Linked DNA regions of Coturnix japonica. The protein of the gene in region 1 interacts with the protein of each later gene in a pairwise test. Links are inferred from orthologs where the notes say so. Each region holds a gene or a part of one and is shown on either strand. Other genes may lie near its edges.

What was found. The genes of interacting proteins can lie anywhere in the genome.
Region 2: the proteins of INSR (region 1) and MAD2L1 interact in binary tests that used the Homo sapiens proteins (3 or more experiments, as listed by UniProt). The link is inferred for Coturnix japonica from reciprocal best matches to the Homo sapiens genes INSR and MAD2L1.

The regions. Positions count from the first base shown.
Region 1 is NC_029543.1:3,194,732-3,204,583, forward strand, and holds the start of INSR (insulin receptor), read right to left. Parts: upstream 6,317-9,852; 5' UTR 6,081-6,316; coding exon 6,005-6,080; intron 3,907-6,004; exon of another isoform or gene 2,875-3,906; intron 2,626-2,874; coding exon 2,074-2,625; intron 1-2,073. UniProt on the Homo sapiens protein: Receptor tyrosine kinase which mediates the pleiotropic actions of insulin.
Region 2 is NC_029519.1:48,822,572-48,832,672, forward strand, and holds MAD2L1 (mitotic spindle assembly checkpoint protein MAD2A), read left to right. Parts: upstream 1-4,825; 5' UTR 4,826-4,887; coding exon 4,888-4,963; intron 4,964-5,122; coding exon 5,123-5,269; intron 5,270-5,357; coding exon 5,358-5,478; intron 5,479-6,878; coding exon 6,879-6,982; intron 6,983-7,569; coding exon 7,570-7,742; 3' UTR 7,743-8,190; downstream 8,191-10,101. Other genes in the region: RPL7L1 (60S ribosomal protein L7-like 1), read right to left, coding at 9,874-10,082. UniProt on the Homo sapiens protein: Component of the spindle-assembly checkpoint that prevents the onset of anaphase until all chromosomes are properly aligned at the metaphase plate.

The DNA.
Region 1 (9,852 bases):
TGAAACACTGCTGGGCTGCACAGTGTGATCCCGAGGACTGGAGGAGCAGCTCTGAGATAACAGCACGTTGTGACTCAGTCGGTGCTGGAGTTAAATGGGAGATGGGAATTGGCTGAAAGAAGGAGCAGCAAAGGGACATGGGCACAGTGGGCAGGGAGGGCAGGGCCAGGGGATGCTGGGCGCTGCAGCATTCAGTGCTGAGAGGCCCAGATAAGCCACCTGAGTGCAGAGAGATTTGCCCACACTGATGCCCTCGGTCCTAAGTGCCACTGCAAAGCTCTTTAGGCAAAGGGAAGCCACGAGCTCGTAATAATTATGACAAAGCAATTACATGCATGAAGGATACGTTATGGCTGGCAAAGAACAGGGAATGCAGCAATTCCACCAAGAGATTCTCTAAACAAATACCGCAGCCTCTGCCATGGCTACTACAGCACAGTCAGTGGTGGAAGCCTAAAGGCAATTAAGAAAGAAGTCAAAACAAAGTCTGAAAGAACGCTCAGAAACAGTCCCACCAACTAGTGGGGCCAAAGGCCTCACAGAGCAGAACAGACACCACCTCCTGGTGAGCACCAGCTGCCAATGAGAGCACGAAGCAGCGTTCACAACAAGGCCACGTCAGACTCACTCAGGTGCCTTTGAAATGTACCTCCACGACAGAATAAAGGCATCGCAGCATCACTGCCCCAAGGACAAGGAGCACGGAAAACCAAAAGGAGATTTGGCACAGAGCAACACCTGGAATAATTCCCCAAATTCCAATTCCAACCATATGGATACTTCAGGTTGGCTCCCTTTGGTAATGGAGCGTGGGGCAATGTCTGCTATCCCCCCCCAGGACCCCACGCTGAGCTGATGTGAGGGGCTCAGAACGCAGGGTTCTGCCCCAGAGGTGCAATGTTAAATTCCTCCAGGTTTCATGGAAATAAACAGTCACGTAAAGGAGAAGAGCCACACGTCCCAGTCTGCTGCAGCACAGCCCCAAAACTCGCAGGAATGAGGGATGATGAATGCTCCAGACACAGAAAACTGCTTCAGTTCAACCTCTAACTCTGGGCAACAGAAGAAAACAGACCATGAACGCACAGCAAACCAGGTGCACTGCTGATAATGGCTGTATACCAAAAGAGCTTCCAAACTAAAATGCTTCATAACCTTACGTTTCCTCTCAGAGAAGAAACACACGCAGACTTTCACATGATCTTGCTCAAAGCCTCTTATTCCAGCAATAAAAAATAACCACTTTCTTTAAAAGGAAGCGAGACAATTTGGGGTGAGGAGCAGCAGAGGGGAAACCACATTAATTTCATTAGTTGCTGCATACTGCAAGGAATTCCTTCTGAAATCTGGCACTCAGCACTCGGATTTGCCCTTTAAAGCTTGGCAAGAAATTTTCCTCAGCCCACAAGTTTCCTAATTTCATCTTAGGACACACTGCTTCATTTGGATGCACTACCACCGAGGAGACAGACAGCTCTGAATGTGTCACTTTCACCTCAATTCGCTTTGCTTCTCGTCGGGTGGATTTCACATAAATCAAACCAAACGTATAATTACAACCAAAATTAAGGTCAGCTTCAAGTTTGGAAGAAACAAACCTGTATGAAGTTCAAAGCCACCTTAAGGACGTCAAGAACTGGAGTCTGGGGGCTGGGATGGCAGCTGTGCACACAGCTCTGCAGCACCAAACCCGGCCTTTCCTCCCCTCCCCTTCTCCCAGCTTCCTGCTGTGTGCAAACAGTGCTCACCCACCCACCCATCTCACACCTTTTTATGGCAGGAAGGTTTCAGTAAAAGCATTATTGCATCCTTCCGGAGTCAGCTTTATTCCATAAGACCTTTCCCTGCTGCTCTGTATCCGCCTTTCAATCGAGCCAGGCTTTTAATCCCACAGCCCCAAAAGAATTCCTAATACTAGGACACAGACAACAGCTACACCCATAGAGCACAACTGGGAGCTCTGGGAAGCCCCTGACTTTCCAGGGAACCCAAACACGGCACTTTTGGGCACGTTATTCACATGGATGGGTAACAGCTGATGGGAGCATCTCAGCTGCCCTGCAGCTCACCCACCTCTCTGGCAGCGGTCGTGGGTCCAGCAGCGCTCGATGAAGATGCCGTTGATGACGGTGGGTGGGCAGTTGCTCTTCCCTTTCACCGTCCCAGGACACACATCTCCACACTCCTCCTTGTCATCCTTGTTGGCGATGATGTAGTTGTCCTCGACGGAGTCCAAAATCCTCGACCAGTCGATAGTGGACAGGTAGCACAGCTCGTTGTTCTTCTCGATGCGCACGGCACCGCGCGTGATGTTCATCAGGTTGTAGAGGCCGATCTCCTTTAGATGAACCATCTCAAAGATGACCAGCGCGTAGTTAAAGAACAGATGTGTTCCTCGGATCACCGTGAGGTTGGGGAAGAGGCCCTTTAAGCTCTCCAGGCCATACACACGGAACAGAAGCAAGTAGTCTGTAATCATAGTCAGTTTGGGGAAGCTGAGCTCGCGGAAATCTTCAGGCTTGGTTTTAAACATCAGCAGTATTTGTAAGTGGCCCTCAATCACCGTGCAGTTCTCCAGCAAGCTCAGCCGGGTCAGGTTGTTGCGGATGTCCATGCTTCTGCAAACTGGGAGGCAAAGAACAATGCTGTTTATTTGTTCTTATAAAGGTGACCGTTAGCTGGCTAAACACACCCATTCTTCCAACTGTATCCTAAAATGCAGCTGCATTCAGACTACACGGACGGGTCCTGTGCGACAAAACACGCTGCGAGCGTTAAGAAATAGAGCTGGGAACACTCCCCGGTATATGATTACAAAACACGACTCAATGGGGATTTCATAACGTTCTGCCATCTTGAGTTTGTGGATATTACCTCTACCACGACTGGAAAGGCAGCACCGGGCCTCGGACGTCACTCAGCGTTTACCGAAGTGGAGGTGTCCATGCAACACAGTCTGTTTTCTTTAGATAGTTGCCAGCGACACAACTACCTCACTGCGTTGTGCAATTGGTGCTGGGGGGGTCACTGAGAATGGTGGTGGGGAGGGGAAGATAGGAAAGGAGCAATGGGGAGAACATGGCAGCACTGGGAAGAGAAGGAACACATCCTCCCCTTGAGAATTAACAGCGCAGGATATTTACCTTTTTTGCTCACTGTATATACAGAGCAGTGACTGTAAAATGAAGCTTCGAGAAATCACTTGGCAATAATCAAGCCTTATAAAATTAAGGCACGTGCAGACGTTGGATAGCTCTGACTCTCCAGCTCCTGGTGGGTGCACTAAAGGTCACTGCTGTGTGAGTTAAAAATATACTTTATATGCAAACGTCTTAATGATTGTTTAAAACTTTGCTCAACTGCAATGAGAGAAAAAAAACCAGCCTCAAACTGGCAGTGCTGCTGTGGGACTCAGAGCAGCATTAGTGCCCATTGGGACTGCTGTGAGCACACAGCATCAGAGATGCCTTCTGCAAGAAGAAGTGGGGGCACAGAGCATCGTGGAATGGCAGAATTAGGGCTGGAAGGGGAGGAAGGAAAGGCCTAGAATAAATGTCATCGGTGCAACAAGGCTGGGGTGGGTTTTTTTTTAGTAACAATTAAAATCGGCACATTTGTCTCTGAATCATTTCATTCTGAACCCAACAATCTGCCTGTGCTGAGAAGTGATTGACTTCACTGCAGCCTCTAACGAGCTCCTGACATTCACTCGAGGAAGAGGAACGTAATCACAGCTCAGCGGTGCCAAGTGGAAGAGCTTCAGAGACCTAAAGGAGATCGGGAGGAGAACAAACTGCTTTCCAGCCACACGCGGACGGGGAGCAGGGCAGGCACAGGGTCTGCTGCTCCCTTCAGACCAGACCCAGCAGTCGGGGAGCAGCCCACAGGGGCTCCCTGCCATGTGATGGCAGTGCCAAGGAGTGCTGCTCAGTGCCCCTGGATGCACTGAGACCCCCACCCACATTGAGCACTCAGAGCACATCATGGGTCTGTATCTGAACCAATCAAACAGAAGGTGCTGGGATGGTAAACCTGTGAAGATTCAAACGCTCAGGCCAGATTTTTCCACCTTTAGAGAGAATCACGTTTAAGGTTTATCTTTCATTATCTTCTCCAGGTTAGTTTTGATGTGCTGAGCATCACCCACAGCTCCCACACTCCTCCTTCGCACCTCCAGGACCCACGAGAAGGAGCCGTAACCACATGAAGCCAAATCTGCTTCTCTGTCTCAGGGCCCTCAACCCCATCGTGTGTCTGAATCCCACTCTGCAGCAGCTCAGAGCACACCACAGCTGCTAAGTCAGCCGTGCATTTACTGTTACCAGGACAACGAGAAGCAGATTTAGGCGAAGTAATGACTGGCTTTGCTGCCAGAGAGGAGCTGCTCCTCCATCTCTGGTTACTCAGAACAAAATCACTTTAAAAAAAATAATAATCAAATAAATGAATCACGATAGACAAGTTTCATTACACCCCCCCAAGAAGAACACTGCAGTGTGATGGAAGTGCACCAACCAAACCTTGGGACCTCAGCAAGACACAGCTGCTGCTCATGGGTCTGCACCATGGGGCCAGGATGACACAGACAGCCCACAGACCATCGCAGATGATCATTGGGGAACCACAGGCTCAAGGAGCAGAGAATACCATCAGTGGGGAGCAGACACAGCCCAGAATGCAGCATCCACGAGCTCCATTGCTCAGGGAACAACACGTGTGTGCTGACACAGCCCTTGTACTGCATCCCCCCAACCCACACTGCGAGTGGAAGCACAGAACGCAGCACACATTGCACATATTGCAGAGCCTTCGAGGTGGGACCTGAGCGCAGCAGAGGCTGTGAGATCTCTGCTGCAGTGTCTGTGCTGTGAATGACACACATTCCAGCCCAGGTTTTGCTGCTGCACCTCCTGTGTCGCTCCTGTTCTCCATCCATAATTGTACAGCACATTTCCTTTCCTACTGTGGAGTAACACAGCGAGCACCATCCGAGCTGTTCACTTTTTACACTTGCAATAAAAAGCAGAATTAGCTTTTAAATAAGCACATAAACACAGCGTTTCGGTGTGGCAGCAATAACAGTGCTTTCAAATCAGTAACTGCTGTGCTGGAGCAGCGTGTGTTTTAATAGCAGTGCTATTCACCAACCAGCCCAGCGCTGTGTGTGCAGCCAGCTGTGCTCCTCTGGAGCTGCTCGGGGTCGCCTTTAAGGCCTCCATGCCAAACCTTTGTATGAGGACAGCACGGGGCTCTGCAGCACACAGCGGGGAGAAGCCGAGCAGCCATTGAGTGCTGCATTCTGTGCTTTATTCTCACTGTGTATCGACGTTTCAGCGATGCCCATCGCTGCGCTGGGTGGATTTGGAGCTATTCTCTCTCTATGCTGCCTTTGCTGGTGGCAAAGCCGACAGGCCGTGGGACCCGCGTGCTTTCCTCCAAAGAAACACATTCACCTTTACCAGGACTCACCGCCCGCACGCACACACACAACACACCGCGCACCCACGCGACCCGTCCCGCAGCGCGGCGGCTCCTGCTGCGGGGTCGCCCCATGTGGGCCCCGCGTCGGCCCGAGCCCCGCACCCGGCTCGTGGCTGCCGAACACCCACCCGATGGCCGCGGCCGGACGGGCCGATGGTCGCAGCGCCGCGGAGGCCCCGCGATTCCGCCCGGCTCGGCGGCCCAACGCGGCCCCGGAGGAACGCGGAGCACCCGCGGAGCCGCGGCCCGTCGCGCCTCCCACCCGCCCGGGGCCGAAGCGCCGAACCGAGCGATGAAGGTCACCCGAACCTCCCCCCTCCTCCGCCCCCCACGGGAGCGCTCCGGGCCCCGCTGTCCCGCTCCTGAGGCCGCGCCGCCCGCCCCGAGGCCCGGCCCTGCCCCGCCGGGCAGAGGTACAAAGGTACCGCTCCGGGGCCGCCTCTCCCCGCCGCCGTGCGGGGCCGCAGCCCGGGCCCCGCTCCCCCTCGGTCCCTCGGTCCCCCCGCTCCCCGCCCGCACTCACTTTCGGCGCGGCCGCCGCAGGCCGCCAACACCGCGGTCACGGCCAGCACCGCCGCCGCCGCCGCTCTCGGTGCCATGGCCGCGTCCCGGAGCCGCTCGGCGCGTCCCGGCGGGGGCGAATCAGAGGCCGCGGGGCGGGCGCGGGGGCCGGGCCCGGCTTCGGGTTCGCATCGTCCAGCAGAGCCCCGAGGAACCGGCCGCCGACCCCAGCGCGGAGCCCGGCCCGGCGGCTCAGGACGCGGCTCTCGGCCACTCCAGCGCAGGCCGGGCGGGCGGCCGCCTCCTGCCCAGTAAACAAGGGGCTGCCCCCGTCAGCTGCGAGCGGGCGGCGGCAAGAGGCGGCGCGGAGCCGGGACGGGACGGGGGGCGGAGCGGAGCGGCCGCTTCCACCTGCCGGGCCGGGGCGCTGCGCTCAGCGCGGAGGGGAACGGCCCGAGAGGAACCGGAGCGGAACCGGAGCGGAACCGTTCGGTGCCGCCGTGTTGGCCGCCGGGATCCGGCACAGCAATGCCCAGCACAACCGGCCCGGGCGGCTCCTGCGCAGGGACGCAGCGTCTGAGTCCTTTTCCTCCTCTTTTAATCGCCTTCGCCGCTCGGTTGTACGGAGCCATTACCCCATTACCGCACGTTTCCTGGCAACTTCCAGTAATTTTATCAGGCTTTTGCTACCACCCATTTCTACAAGACGTGGAGTTGCGTCAACTGCGGGAATAAAGCTTTGCTAATTCTGCCCCGCTCAGTTAAAGAGCTTCTTCCAAACCTTCGTCCCTCCATCAGCTTTGCTCGGCTCTCACCGCTCTGCTCCTCCCCCCGTGGAGCAGCACCGGGCTGCGGCTTCCAGGTGCTGAGCTGCTTTAAGACAGTTTGAGCTGTGTGAAGTATTTGTGCCATTAATCCCTATAGAAGGGAGCCACGGGGCTCTCCCATCGCTGTGAATAACAGGAGGAGCAGCAATGAAACCACAGCCGTTCTGGGGGAGCTCAACCCGACCCCTCTGTGATGTTTCCCTGTTGGACGGGGTAAGGACAGGGCCTGGTTCAAAGCCACCTGCACGCAAAGATCAGCAGCTGTGGCTGCTCCAAACCCTTTGCAGAGCATTGGGATGTTGAGATGAAGGGCCCTATGAGCAGCGCTGCCTTCCTTTGTGTGTCAGAACAGACCCCCAGGTCTGTTCTTGTTGTCATTTACTCCAGTTCTATTTATGAGCCCCACAGACTCAGAACTCTGCTCGGTCCAGAACACTGCAAGATGTGAGGGCAGGAGTGGGAATGGGCAGCAAAACTGCACTCCATGCTTGCAGCTCAGCCTGCCTCATATCAGCCTCTGCATAAAGCAGAAAGAGCCACACGTCATCCCCAGAGCTGCGTGGAATCCACAATGTGACTGTAATAGCAACCTGCTTCTGCTTACTCACGTTCTCCTCGCTTTCCATGTGATAATAATATCATCTTACCGATGGGAATGGGGAGGATTAAAGGCTGCAGCTCCATTCTCTTTCACTCAAACACTATTTTTAGTTTCTGGTTGCTGATGAGGACCATTGGTGTGCAGCCTGTGCTCCGTATCCATCGTGCTTTTGCCATCACATAACCCAGCAGCACCCGCATGTTCCTGGTTCTGTTCCCAACAGCAGCACCTCGTGCTCTTCTCTCATTTCCAACTGAATAAACACTGCTAAAACCATTAGTCTGAGGTATCAAGTACAACTCCTTCCTTAAGCATTCTCTCTCCTCTCCATGTATGTGTTTCTTAGGAGCAGGTTCTGGGTGCTGAGGTGGAGTTACCCCATGGAGGAGATGGTTCTGCTTGGAACAAAGCATAGGTTGCCTTATTTCTGTTGAGTCAAATGTGTGTGCAGCACACACCATCCATCCTCCCATTCTTTGGGGATGTGGAAGAGTTTCTTGCTTTCCAACAACAGCTCAATGTGAGCATGGCTGGCAGGATGAGGACAGAAGGTTCTGGAATAGCCTGCTCTGCAAGGCCTAGCACTGAGCACAGCACAGCTGGCCCTGAGAATCGCATCTCATCCTGTTTGGAGCCGTGCAGAACTATTGCCAGATCTCCCAATATAAAATATTTCACGTCACAGAGTGACCCAGCTCCTTTCTTACCCTTCCTTCCGTCCGCACCAAATCCGATAAGTGAGCGCTGTCTTCCCAAAGGGAGGGAGCTCTAAGGACGAGGCCCATCCGCCTTCCGTGCTGAGGGCAGAAGCCTCATCTTTCTGCTGCTGAAACAGGAAACGCTGTCAGATCCTTCCAGATAATTCCATCGCTACGTGAGCAAACACAACCTTTGCTTGAGGTGAAAATGGCAGAGGGCATCTCTGCCACGTGGCTTCAAAGCCGCCAGGGATGAGGAGCTCAGGAAATGGCAGCGCTGCCCATTGCAGCTCCAGCTTTTGTCCTGGTTGATGGTTGGGTGTCACGCGATGCTTTCCATTCCTTACAACCTGTTTGAACTCAGCACACGCAGTGAGCAGAGAAACACAGCCCAGCCCACAGCCCAGCCCCATATCCTGCCCCACATCAACCATTGCTGCCCCATATCCTGCCCCACAGCCCAGCATCCTGCAGCTCCATAGAGCCCCAGCTCCCCCCCCATGCCTGGTGTGCAGTTCTCTATCAGCAGCCACGTGCACATCAGTGGCTGCAGCCACGTCACTCTCACACACCGTATGCACACACTGTGCCCCAGGCAACCGACTGGCTGTGCCAGTTCCCAGCTACAGTTTGCATGGGGTTTTTCTTTGTTTTTTTAATTAACTAATGCACTTTTGTTGCTAATCGAGGGTCAGAATTGGAGGGATGGCCCCTCCGGGCAGCATAGCAGAGCTCAGCAGACCATAACCCTGTGCTCCACGTTGCTTTATCTCGTGTTTTGTGTTTTGGACAGCATAGAACTCCTAGTTCCCACTTTGATAAGCAGTTTGTTCTGTCGCTAGGAGACACACCCTTTCTTTGTAAATGTTACAAATCAAGCATATCTAATCCATTATTCACAAGCTGCTGCAGCTTCCCACTTCCATCTATTAAGAGGTAGCAATCGTGCCAGAAATGTCACAGTGGTCTCATGTGACAGGTGGTGTTGATTCAGCTCCCATGGTTTGTCATGTCACTGTTGGTCAATGGGAACGTGCAGCACAGCTCAGTACAGCGACCCGCAGTGAGGAGCAGCCAGCACAAAGCTGCAGGCCTTGGGAATGGCAGCAGCACTGCTGCAGACTGAGAGCTTTGATTGCTGTTTTCTGCTCCTTCGTGCTGTATTATTATGGCTGATGTTTCTTTCATGCTTGAGACTTGGATTCTGAGGTTTCAATTTCAGGTTTACGATGGAGTCAGTGAGAAGGGAGGTGGAGCAGCATGTGGTGAGCAGAGGGATGGGACCTCCATCCATCCCCTCCTGAGAGCTATCACCTGAGGATGCAAGGCTCAGGAAGGCTGCGTTCACCACCCTGACATGGCCCAAGTCTCTGACAGCAGCACTATTAGCAGTAGTTATTATTTCTACTCGCTGCTTGGAGTTGTGTTCTGCAGAGCAGGGCCCAGCCCTGTGTCTGATAAACATCTCCCCATGTAGATTTCCCAAGCTTTGGGAATGTTAAGCAATTCTCACTTGGCAATGCTTGCAGAATGCCATCTCTGTGTGTAACACCAGCCCATGAAGTGAAGCACATCAGAACCCCACAACAGAACATGGGGCCGAGGCCTGAAGTCACTGAGCTCACCACCAGCATTACCTGGAGAAATAAGGTCTGTCTGTGCCCCCACTGACTGCATTCTGTGACTTATATAATACCCTCCACACAGACCTTCAAAGCAGCTCCGAATTGCCATCGTTACTAAA
Region 2 (10,101 bases), on another chromosome or scaffold:
CTCACATTACTAAGCCATCTGTTTTCCATTTTTACACAGCATCAGATCATGAGGTTTGGATGAGGCCATCCATTATGTAGGAGACGCAGATAACTAGCTTGAACTTTCAAATATTACTCCAAATTTGCTTGTTTGTTTTCCAAAAAACTTTGCCTTATGCAACAAACAAGTGAACAGCCCTTTTGGTCTCACTAATGGTTTAGAAAATAAAAACATTGCTTTGAAATTGTTCTAGCAAATCCTTTCTTGGCTACTTTGCAAGTGACCTCATGATCTATTGTTAAGTGATTTTTTGTTATTTTAAAGAGCAAAGGGAAGCCCAAAGACCCTTTCCATGCTTCTCACATGGAAACCTGACTGAAAATGGATCAACAAGTACATTCTAAGAAAAGAAAAGAAAATAAGTACTTATTTGCTACTTTGTATGTTCTTAAAAGTAATTAAGAAATACAATATTTCACTTTCCATGTGACCTACATGAAGTGGTTGAAGTAGAGTTCCATAAGCTGGATTTTGTACCTGATGTTGCCCATATCTAGTTCACTGCTGTTCTTGTGCAAAGACATCTTTACTTATTCTTAAGCTATTAATGTAAGTACACAAGTATTGCCTAGATAAACGTGTTTTCAGCAACTCATCCAATTGACAAACTGTTCATGGTTCCTCAGCTATTACTCAGCAGAGCAGATGAACTGTAATGCAAATATAACAGGAAGTTCATACATCAGGCAATGTCTCCACACTATAGGACTAGACGTTCCAAGGCATCAAACTGAGATGAAGATGGCTGGTGAGGTATAGTATACTTTGAAGTTCAAAGTATAGTTCCAACAAGTCCTATTACATTTACTAAAGTATTCTTCCTTATATAGAGGAACAGATGCCTTACTTAGAAAGTCACTCTCTCATATTTTCTTAAGCTGTTCAGTAATTATAAGAAAAATTCGCATGCCTGTTCTGATAAAGAATCACCATTCTGACGATGGGATTCCTAACATGCATGGGGATGCAAATGAAGAAAAAATGCAGAAAGTTTACTTTTCAAGAGGAAATGAAGGAATGATTCATGGTGGGATTTTTTTTGCTTCACATATTTCTAATGCAAACACTATGTTTCACAATTTATTTGTCTCTCTAGACATCATAATTCTGAGGCAGTTCTCAAGACACAATTACTCAAACAAGTCCATCTTTGTTATGTATCAGAAAAGACACAACAAAAAGCAAGCACAAATAACAACTATAGAATCATAGAATCACCAAGGTTGGAAAAGACCTAATAGAGCATCCAGTCCAACCATTCACCTATTACCAACAGCTCTCACTAAACCATGTCCCTCAACACAACATCCAAATCATCAAAGTCATTGTAATTGTGCAACAATACTCTATGAAAAGCCTTTCTGACACTATCATGGTACATTCAACCCTGCTAACCCACCTACAATATTCTTTTGTACCTCAGTGCTTAATGTCACGACAGTCTAACTCTCTGCTGATGTGTCTGTTCAGCCTGTTACTTAGAAAAGACCTGTTTTTAATTTAAACTGTGGTATATCTCTTAATAAGTCTAAACTACCTAAGAACTGTATCATTTTCCATTAATTTATTAATACGAGAACTTCAGATATGACAGGGGCTTGACACAAACTGGATTAACATTCATCTTTCTAATCATCAACCTTCAGGTGTTTCACTGGGGACTTAGAGCTGGATTCAATGGTTTTCATATCACCTATTACCGTGACATCACTGAGCACTACAAAGTTTTCAAAGCATGAAAGGCCCATTTAAGTCCTGATTTTACTGATTCTGTAACGGGATTCCTGTCTTAAACCAAAACCCTTCAGATTAATTGTTCATCAATTAAGTTGGCTTTAGCGTAACAACAGCAAAAGGTAAATCAAAACAGTTATTTTTCATCCAGTGTTAGATAAGGAGCTCCATTCAAAGATGTTTTGGTACTGTCAATCTATGTTATCATTTCAAATACAAGTACCAACACCTATGCGGTAGTAGATATCTGCTTCCTCCAAAGCAGAGAAACGTTGAAAGAATTATTATGTAAACAAAAGTGACAGCTTATGTATACAGTTCATATTCCATAAATTATAGAAACTAAACTAGAAAGAAATGACACGCATTAATGCCCCATGTTAACTGCTGAATAAATATGCATGATTCTATAGACATGCTCATACAATCAATGAAGGTGCACCTTCACAAAATGCCTTACCATGAGAAAAAACTTTCATTGTGCCACAAATACGCTTGATTTTTCCCCACAGTCAATGAAAAAAGTCTTATAAAAATACCAGTGTTTGCATTTATAAAGAATACTTATATACAATTAGAACTATACCCACAATGTATTAATGTGCCCCCTGGCTTCTCAAAGGCTTGTCAGTGCCAATATGTGTACATATGCGCTAGCTCTCGGTGTTCAGAACAAGACTGATATACCGTGGAAGAAGCTCTCACTTTATGTATGAAATGTGCCACATGTACCAGACATAACGATATTAAAATGATATTACAATGGGAAACACCCATGCATAGACAAAAAGACTTCAGTGCACACACTTTTTACATCTCTTAGAAAAGCAGCCTCTATAATCAAAAATATTTAGTTCAGAGGAAGAAAATTTACCTACAACTTGCAGGGTGCAGGCAGGAAAATAAGCATACAGAGTTAAAAAAAAATAAACAAATCTTCATACAGTTGATTTCTATCACGAACTTTATTTTCTGATTTCAGACCAAGTATCTCCTTCATTCTGGAACACGTTTTAAGAACTGGCAAAGAAATGCATCTAAAATTCGTCTAAACTCAAGTACTCGGTAAAACAAACTCGCTGCAGTTCAAGACTAAACTGAAAGGATGCAAATAATTCATGTGCCTGGTGCCATCTCCTGGTAGCTTAGAGATAAAACCATCAGAACACTGAATGCTGTTTCGCAATAGTAGCTTTTTAAACTCCCCAAATTCACAAAAGCTGTTTCACTAGACAAGAAGGCCACTATCAAGACATAGCTTCATTCATGCTAAATGATGTTTTCACATCGGATTAACACTTGCATAACGAAACGGAGATTGTAAATGGCTGGGCTGGTTCAGGAAAAGCCTTTAGCCAGGAACAACCCACACATCGTTCCCTCCCATAGCACACAGAACTAAGCAGATATAATAAAAAAGTAGCAATTTCACTAGAAACCGTGGAAGTTCAGCTAATTGAGAAGGGCCTCAGCCCACCAGGAGTTAAGACAGCATCCAACACAGGATCTACAAATACCACAATATGGACTGAGGGAGAAAGGGAGCAAAAAGTCAACAAACAAGCTCAACACTCACCATCAGTATTAGGCACAGACAGTTTCAGATGGGCAGCATTATAAACCCCCAAAGGCAACTCAAAACAATATGCAGAAAATAAGAGGGATGAAGGTTAAAGTACTAGTTCTATGTGCTAGTAAGTAGAGAAGCTCCCCCTAAAGTGGGGAAGGAAATAAAGGAGCTTGAGATCTACCAGAACAGGAGAACTAGAGCTCTGTTACCCACAGTAAGATTTCCTTCCTCTGCACAGGAAGAACTGGATTTTGCTGAGACTTAATATGACAATTTGTTAATGTGATAAGAGGGCTTTTATAACAAACAGGACTTTTATTCTACAGACTGTTTTATTCTGCTGGCAGGAGAGACCTGTCCACAACGACCCGAGGGTTAAAAAACTAAACAAGAACAAAAATAAAAGCCCCAAACCTGGGAAGGAACTTTACACATGGATTATTTCTTCTTGTCTGCTGAATGACTACAGGAGCATGACTAGAGTTGCCTTAAAAAATTTGCAGGAGCAGCAGTGATCTGGATTGTCACAGGTTCATTAACAATGGCCATGGGGAAGCAATCATTAAATGTTGCAGAAAAGCCAAGATAAATAGGGGATGTTTAATTCCACAAAAAGAGAATAATAAATATATATATGTGTGTGTCATATCAAAATGTAATTGAGAAACACAGCAATGACTAAAGAATCATAAGAGAACCAAATTAAATGCAACTGGGATTTCACATTCCTTCTGAAAATTAAGGCTTTAGCATGAGATAATTAAAGCAAGGACGGCCAACTCGTGATGTGCCAGAACGTATAACTCAGTCTGTCATCTGCATTGCCGAGTCCCCGCGAGCTGCTCAGGAAGCGGGCTGTCAGACACACCGCTCCCTCACCCACAGCACTATCCCCACTGCTCCCCGTGACAGCCCCACAGCCTCCTGCTTGTCACGCAGCTGGACATGCCCTAAATGTGAACTACAGGCATCAGCAGCACATGGAAAAGCTCCTCATCCGCCTCTGCCAAAACACGGAGAAACCAATTTGTGTTGAAGCAGATCAGCTACCTGCAACGGGAGACCCTTAAGAATCCACCAGAGCGCTGAGGAGCCGCACTTCGCTTCTATGAGCGCTGGGTTTGTCTATTCCACCGGGTCTAACTACAATGGCGCAGCGGAGGCGGCTCGTAGGGAACCTCGGAGGGAGAAAAGCACGAGAAAATCCCAGAGTGGGAAAGGAAGGGCTCTGAGAGCGCTCTGGGACGGGAATAGCGCAGGGGCTGAAGGAGAATAGCGGGTATTAACAGCAATCCGACTGCTAAACGCTGAGCGGGGCGGCTTTCGTACTGAGCACAACCAGAAATAGCCCAGAGAAGAGGCAGCACCTCCATAAGGACACACGCACCCAACGGCACCTGACGGGACGCACCCACACACCGCAAACCCCGCCCGCCAACGGCCGCACCCCGCGCATGCGCAGCACGGCATCCCGCCTGCTCAGCCCTCGCAGTCGGCCGGAAGGGGCGGGGCGTGATTTGAAGCGGGCGGCGGGCACCGCCATGGCCGCGCAGCTGGGCCGCGAGCAGCAGGGAATCACCCTGCGGGGCAGCGCGGAGATCGTCGCCGAGTTTTTCTGTAAGGGGCTGCGGGCCGCCCAGGGGTGCGGGGAGACGGGGGCGGGTTGGGGGGAAAAAGGCGGGCGGGCGGCTGGCTCTAATGCCGCGGCCGACATGGCCGCCTGTAGGGCGGGAGGGGTGGCCCCCTTACAGAAGCCTCCCCGCTTTGTGCGCGCAGCTTATGGCATCAACAGCATCCTGTACCAGCGGGGCATCTACCCCCCTGAGACCTTCACCCGCGTCCAGAAGTACGGCCTTACCCTGCTCGTCACCACCGACCCCGAGCTGAAGAACTACCTCAACAACGTGGTGGAGCAGATGAAAGGTGAGACCTGCCCCCCCCCGCTTCCCGTCCCCTTTTCTCCTTCCCCTTTTTCTCATACAGCCGTAGTAAATGCTGCGGCCTCTTCCAGAGTGGCTTTATAAGTGCACCGTGCAGCGCCTGGTGGTGGTCATCTCCAGCATTGAGAACAATGAGGTACTGGAGCGGTGGCAGTTTGACATTGAATGTGACAAGAGCGCCAAGGGTGAAAGGTGAGTGACAGCGTTTCTGTGCCTGCTTCTCCCTGTTGGGAGACACAAGGGAAAGACCAAGTATGGTAGTGCTACCTCTGTAACCTAAGAGCTATCTGACGTTACCAAATAAAGCTGTGGGTGCCATTGATGTGCTCCAGGGACTGGATGCAATCCAGGGGGACCTGAACAGGCTGAGCAGTGGGCCCAAGTGAGCTTCATGTGATTCCACAAAGCTAAGAGCAAGGTATTATACCTGGGTTGGGGCAACCCCTGCTTTCAGTACAATCTGGGGGACATAAGAATGGCGCACAACCCTGCTGAAAAGGTCTTGGTGGCAAGCTGGACATGAAGCCTGAAATCATAGAATTACCCAGGTTGGAAAAGACCTTGAACATCATCAAGTCCAACCGCAGCCTAACCAGTACCCTGACTCTAAAAACCCTACACTAAATCATATCCCTGAGTAGGGATATGACCTAACAGCCCAGAAAGCCAACTGTATCCAGGGCCACATCCAAAGAATTGTGCATGGTCAGCAGGGTAAGGGACGTTATCCTGCCTGTATGCTCTGCGCTGGTGAGCCATCACCTGGAGTACTGCATCCAGATTGAGAATTCTCAGTACAGGAGAGACATGGAGCTGTTGGAGTGTGTCCAGAGGAGGGCCACAAAAATGGTCCCAGGGACAGAACAACTCTCCTGTGAGGATAGTCTGAGAGAGCTGAGGTGTTTAGCCTGGGGAAGGCTTAGGGGAGACCAGAGAGCAGCCTTTCAGTATTTTGAGGGGGGGCTATGTGAAAGAAGCTGACAGACTTGTCAGGGCACAGGGTGTGATAAGAGTGAAGTGTTTCGCTAAAAGAAGTGAGGTTTAGATTGGATATAAGGAGGAAATAAGTTTTTTGGCTTGTTTTTGTTTGTTTGTTTCTTTTTTTACAATAAGAGTGGTGAGGCACTGGCACAGTTCATCCAGAGTAGTAGTAGATTCCCCATCCTTGGAGCCACTCAAGGTCAGGCTGGCAGGACTGAGCAATCTTGTGGATCTGTAGGTGACTGTTTATTGCAGGAGAGTTGGAATACATAACAATTAGAGGTCCCTTCCAACTCAAATGATTCCATCATTCAGTTATCAAAATGTTTTGTAATCTGCAACTGAACAAAGTCCTGTATTACTGCTCTTCTGCTGTTTTGCCAAAACTCTCACCCAACCCAGACAGCAAATATGTCCTTAAAAACACTGCGAGGTTTCACAAACAACAAATTGAAAGTTACAGTTTTGTGAGCCTAAGGCTTGAAAGAATGCTTCTGCATAACCATACAGCAAACATACCCCACAGCAGTGCAGCAAGAACTGTGTTTAAAGAAAGCTGTCAGTATTGGAGGTGCAAGTTGTTTTCTTAAAGAGTTTTCTCATTTTTCCAGCGCACCCCGAGACAAATCTCAGAAAGCCATTCAGGATGAAATTCGATCTGTTATCAGACAAATCACTGCCACGGTAACTTTTCTGCCTCTCCTGGAAACTGCCTGTGAGTATTTGTAACTTCTCCGAAAGAAATGACACTTCTTTCAGAAAGCCTGAACTAGCATTTGATTGTAGAAAATCTTTTCCACTATTCTGTTTTTATTATTATTATTTGAAGTGTCATGTATTGCATTTCTGGGTATATGTTTGGTTAGACCAAGACAGTCTCAGCTATGTACAGTATAGAAGCAGCATCAGATAAAGTACTCTAAGTATTGTCCTGTACTGCTTCTTGTACAACAAACTGAAAAAGAACTGCTACTGTAAATACTGTGCTCTCTTTCAATCAAGCACTTGGAGCAACTTCATTGGAAGTTAAACTCTTAAACTCGTTTTTTCCCCAAAAGGTGCAATTCAAGGTGATTTAAGTAGCTTGAAGAAACTTGGTGTATCTGAGGACCTACAGCTGTCATAAATATTGCGACTACAGGAATGATAACTAGTATTTGTTTTCATTCCTTTAACTGCCATTTCTTTTTCTATAGATGCCATAACTACTGATAACCTTCTTGCATGTCTCCATGCGTTTTAACTTCAATTATGGTATCATTCCTATGTGTGTAGCATTAACTTTTTCCCACCTGCTTACAGGTGCCTTTGACTTGCTGATTTACACAGATAAAGATTTGGTAGTGCCAGAAAAGTGGGAAGAGTCAGGACCACAATTCATTGCCAATTCAGAAGAGGTTCGTCTTCGTTCCTTCACTACCACGATCCATAAAGTCAACAGCACGGTGGCTTACAAAAAGGATTCTTTTCCTTAAAACTGTTTCTTGTACATATCCTGTCCTCTTGTATAGTGTCTGTTCATAGAGCAGCTATGTTGTGAACACATGATTGCTCTTGCTGAATGTGCAGTATTGTGCCTGATAATGTGGTGTAACACTAGATTAAGGTGGCACTGTTTGAAGAGCTCTGAGGTGTTCATGACAGTATTAGGCCTGTTTTTCATGCAAGGTCTGGATTTCATGACCAGAAATAATCCATATCTAATCCCAAGATTAATTCTAAAGTTTTTACCATAAAAGCAGCTGATGAGCAGGAAAAGGCCCGAACAGATGAAACACAGCATTTTGAAGAACATGAGACTGCAGTTCTGGAGAGGGTGCTGTTCTGCATCAGTGTGTCTTGTCCTTCTTCAGCAGCTGCACAGCATTTTCTATGTCTGTATTCTTGTTTTATGGAATAAACCTTGAAACTGTATAGAGTTCTCCTAGTCACAGAATGTGGGAATTTGTATTTTAGATGTTAGAATTCTGTATAGCAGCAGTTCAGGCTAATGCCGCAAGTACCTCAGTCACAAATCAAGTGCTTTTGTCAACGTGAAATCCATGAAACTATTCATTAATTGTAGTTTGTCCCCACTCGTGCCTAATACTGTTTGTGGATGATTAGTGATGACTCTATCAATTTTGCGGAATGGTCCTGTAAGATCACCTGGTTTCAACCCCTGCTACAGGCAGGGACACCTACATCTCGATCAGGTTGCTTAAAGCCTGTCCCAGCTCCCTTCCAGGGAGGAGGCATTTACAACCTCACAGGGCAACCTGTTCCAGTGTCTCACCGCCCACACAGTGAAGAGTCTCTTCCCAATATTTAGTTTAATATTACCCTTTTACATCTTAAAGCCATTTCCTCTTGTCTTGTCACTACATGCCCTTATAAAAAGTAATTCCCCCTCTTTCCTGCAGGCCCCCTTTAGGTACTAGAAGGCTGCTATCAGGTCCCCCCCCTGGAGCCTTCTCCAGTGTGAAGAGCCTTAATTCCCCATAATCATTAAGCACAGCGTTGCCTTCTAAATTAGTATCAGACAACAGGCCAGCTGAAGAAGCTCCATAAAAAAAATTTACACTAGCATACACTGCTTTCAGCATTCCCAACAGTCACACTGGAGTTACTTAGTACTTAAGCACTTATGGTTTGACTGATACACGAGTGGTACAATACTATCATTTAAAAAGAGTTTATTTTAAAACTATTGATTTTGTAATATTGCTGCAGAGTGTAAATAATGGGCTTTCCTACCAGGAAATATCCATCCCCACAGCAGTCCCATTTTAGAATATTAGAAAGACACTATATAAACCAGTAAGACAAATCATACTGCAGCTAGACTGTATTTAACAGAGGAATAAGCCTAGTACTTCCCTCTGCCTGTCAGTGGTGTTGTTAAGCAGCTGACTGCACTACCTGCTTACACCTAGAAGTAGGTGCGCTTTAAACAGTAAAGTGCAATTTTAAGCACTTCCCTTGGGGAGGACTGGATCAAAGCAATGGTTGCTGTTCCCTTGTAACAAATTTACATCAGAGAATGCCAACGCGTGCTTCATAGCAAAGGTGAGAGGGTGGACTGGTACAGTGCCAGCAGTAAAAGGTACTGAAAACAAAGATAAAAAATCCAACGCCTTAAAAAAAAATCAGATTGCTCCAGAAAGTTCAAGTCATTTCGTTTTTTGCACCAAATAAAGTTTCTTTCTCAAGGACCAGCCCGGAGTGCAGCTTCATCACCTGGATTTTGTTGGCTTTCTTTACCTTCTTTTTTAAAGGTAGCAATAGACAAGAGATGTAGTATATCATTGTAGAGAGCCCAGGTCCATGAAAATTACATGTGAAAAAGAGCAGGTTCTAAGTCCTGGTGTTTTTGCAGAGACTGCAGAACAGAAAAGAAAGAAAGAAAAAAATTACCAGTCATTTGAACACATTTTTCCCAGCAATCCAAAAATCAATGGATTTGGAATAGCCCACTAGCACCAATAGCTAATGCAACCCATGATCTCTAGTTTTCTCTGAGACTGTGAGGGTCACCATAATATATAAACTCGCGTCTTTGATGGCAATACAGTTAATCTTAGGAAGCCAGATAATAAGGATTTAAAATGTACATTCCTCACCTGTCTAGTTCAGCTGCCGTATAAGCTGGTTGATTCCTTCACCTCTGCAGCCAGGCTTACCCATCTCCTTGAGAAACCCCACTTTATTACGTGCAGCATAGCGGGCCACTGACAGCTGGAACGGCCATAGGAAGTCTGAGACATTTCTGAAGTACTTCCCAGCTGAGTAGATTTCATGAATAAGGTCTTCCAGGCAAATAATACCACAGTTCCCTGCAGGAAAAAATAACCG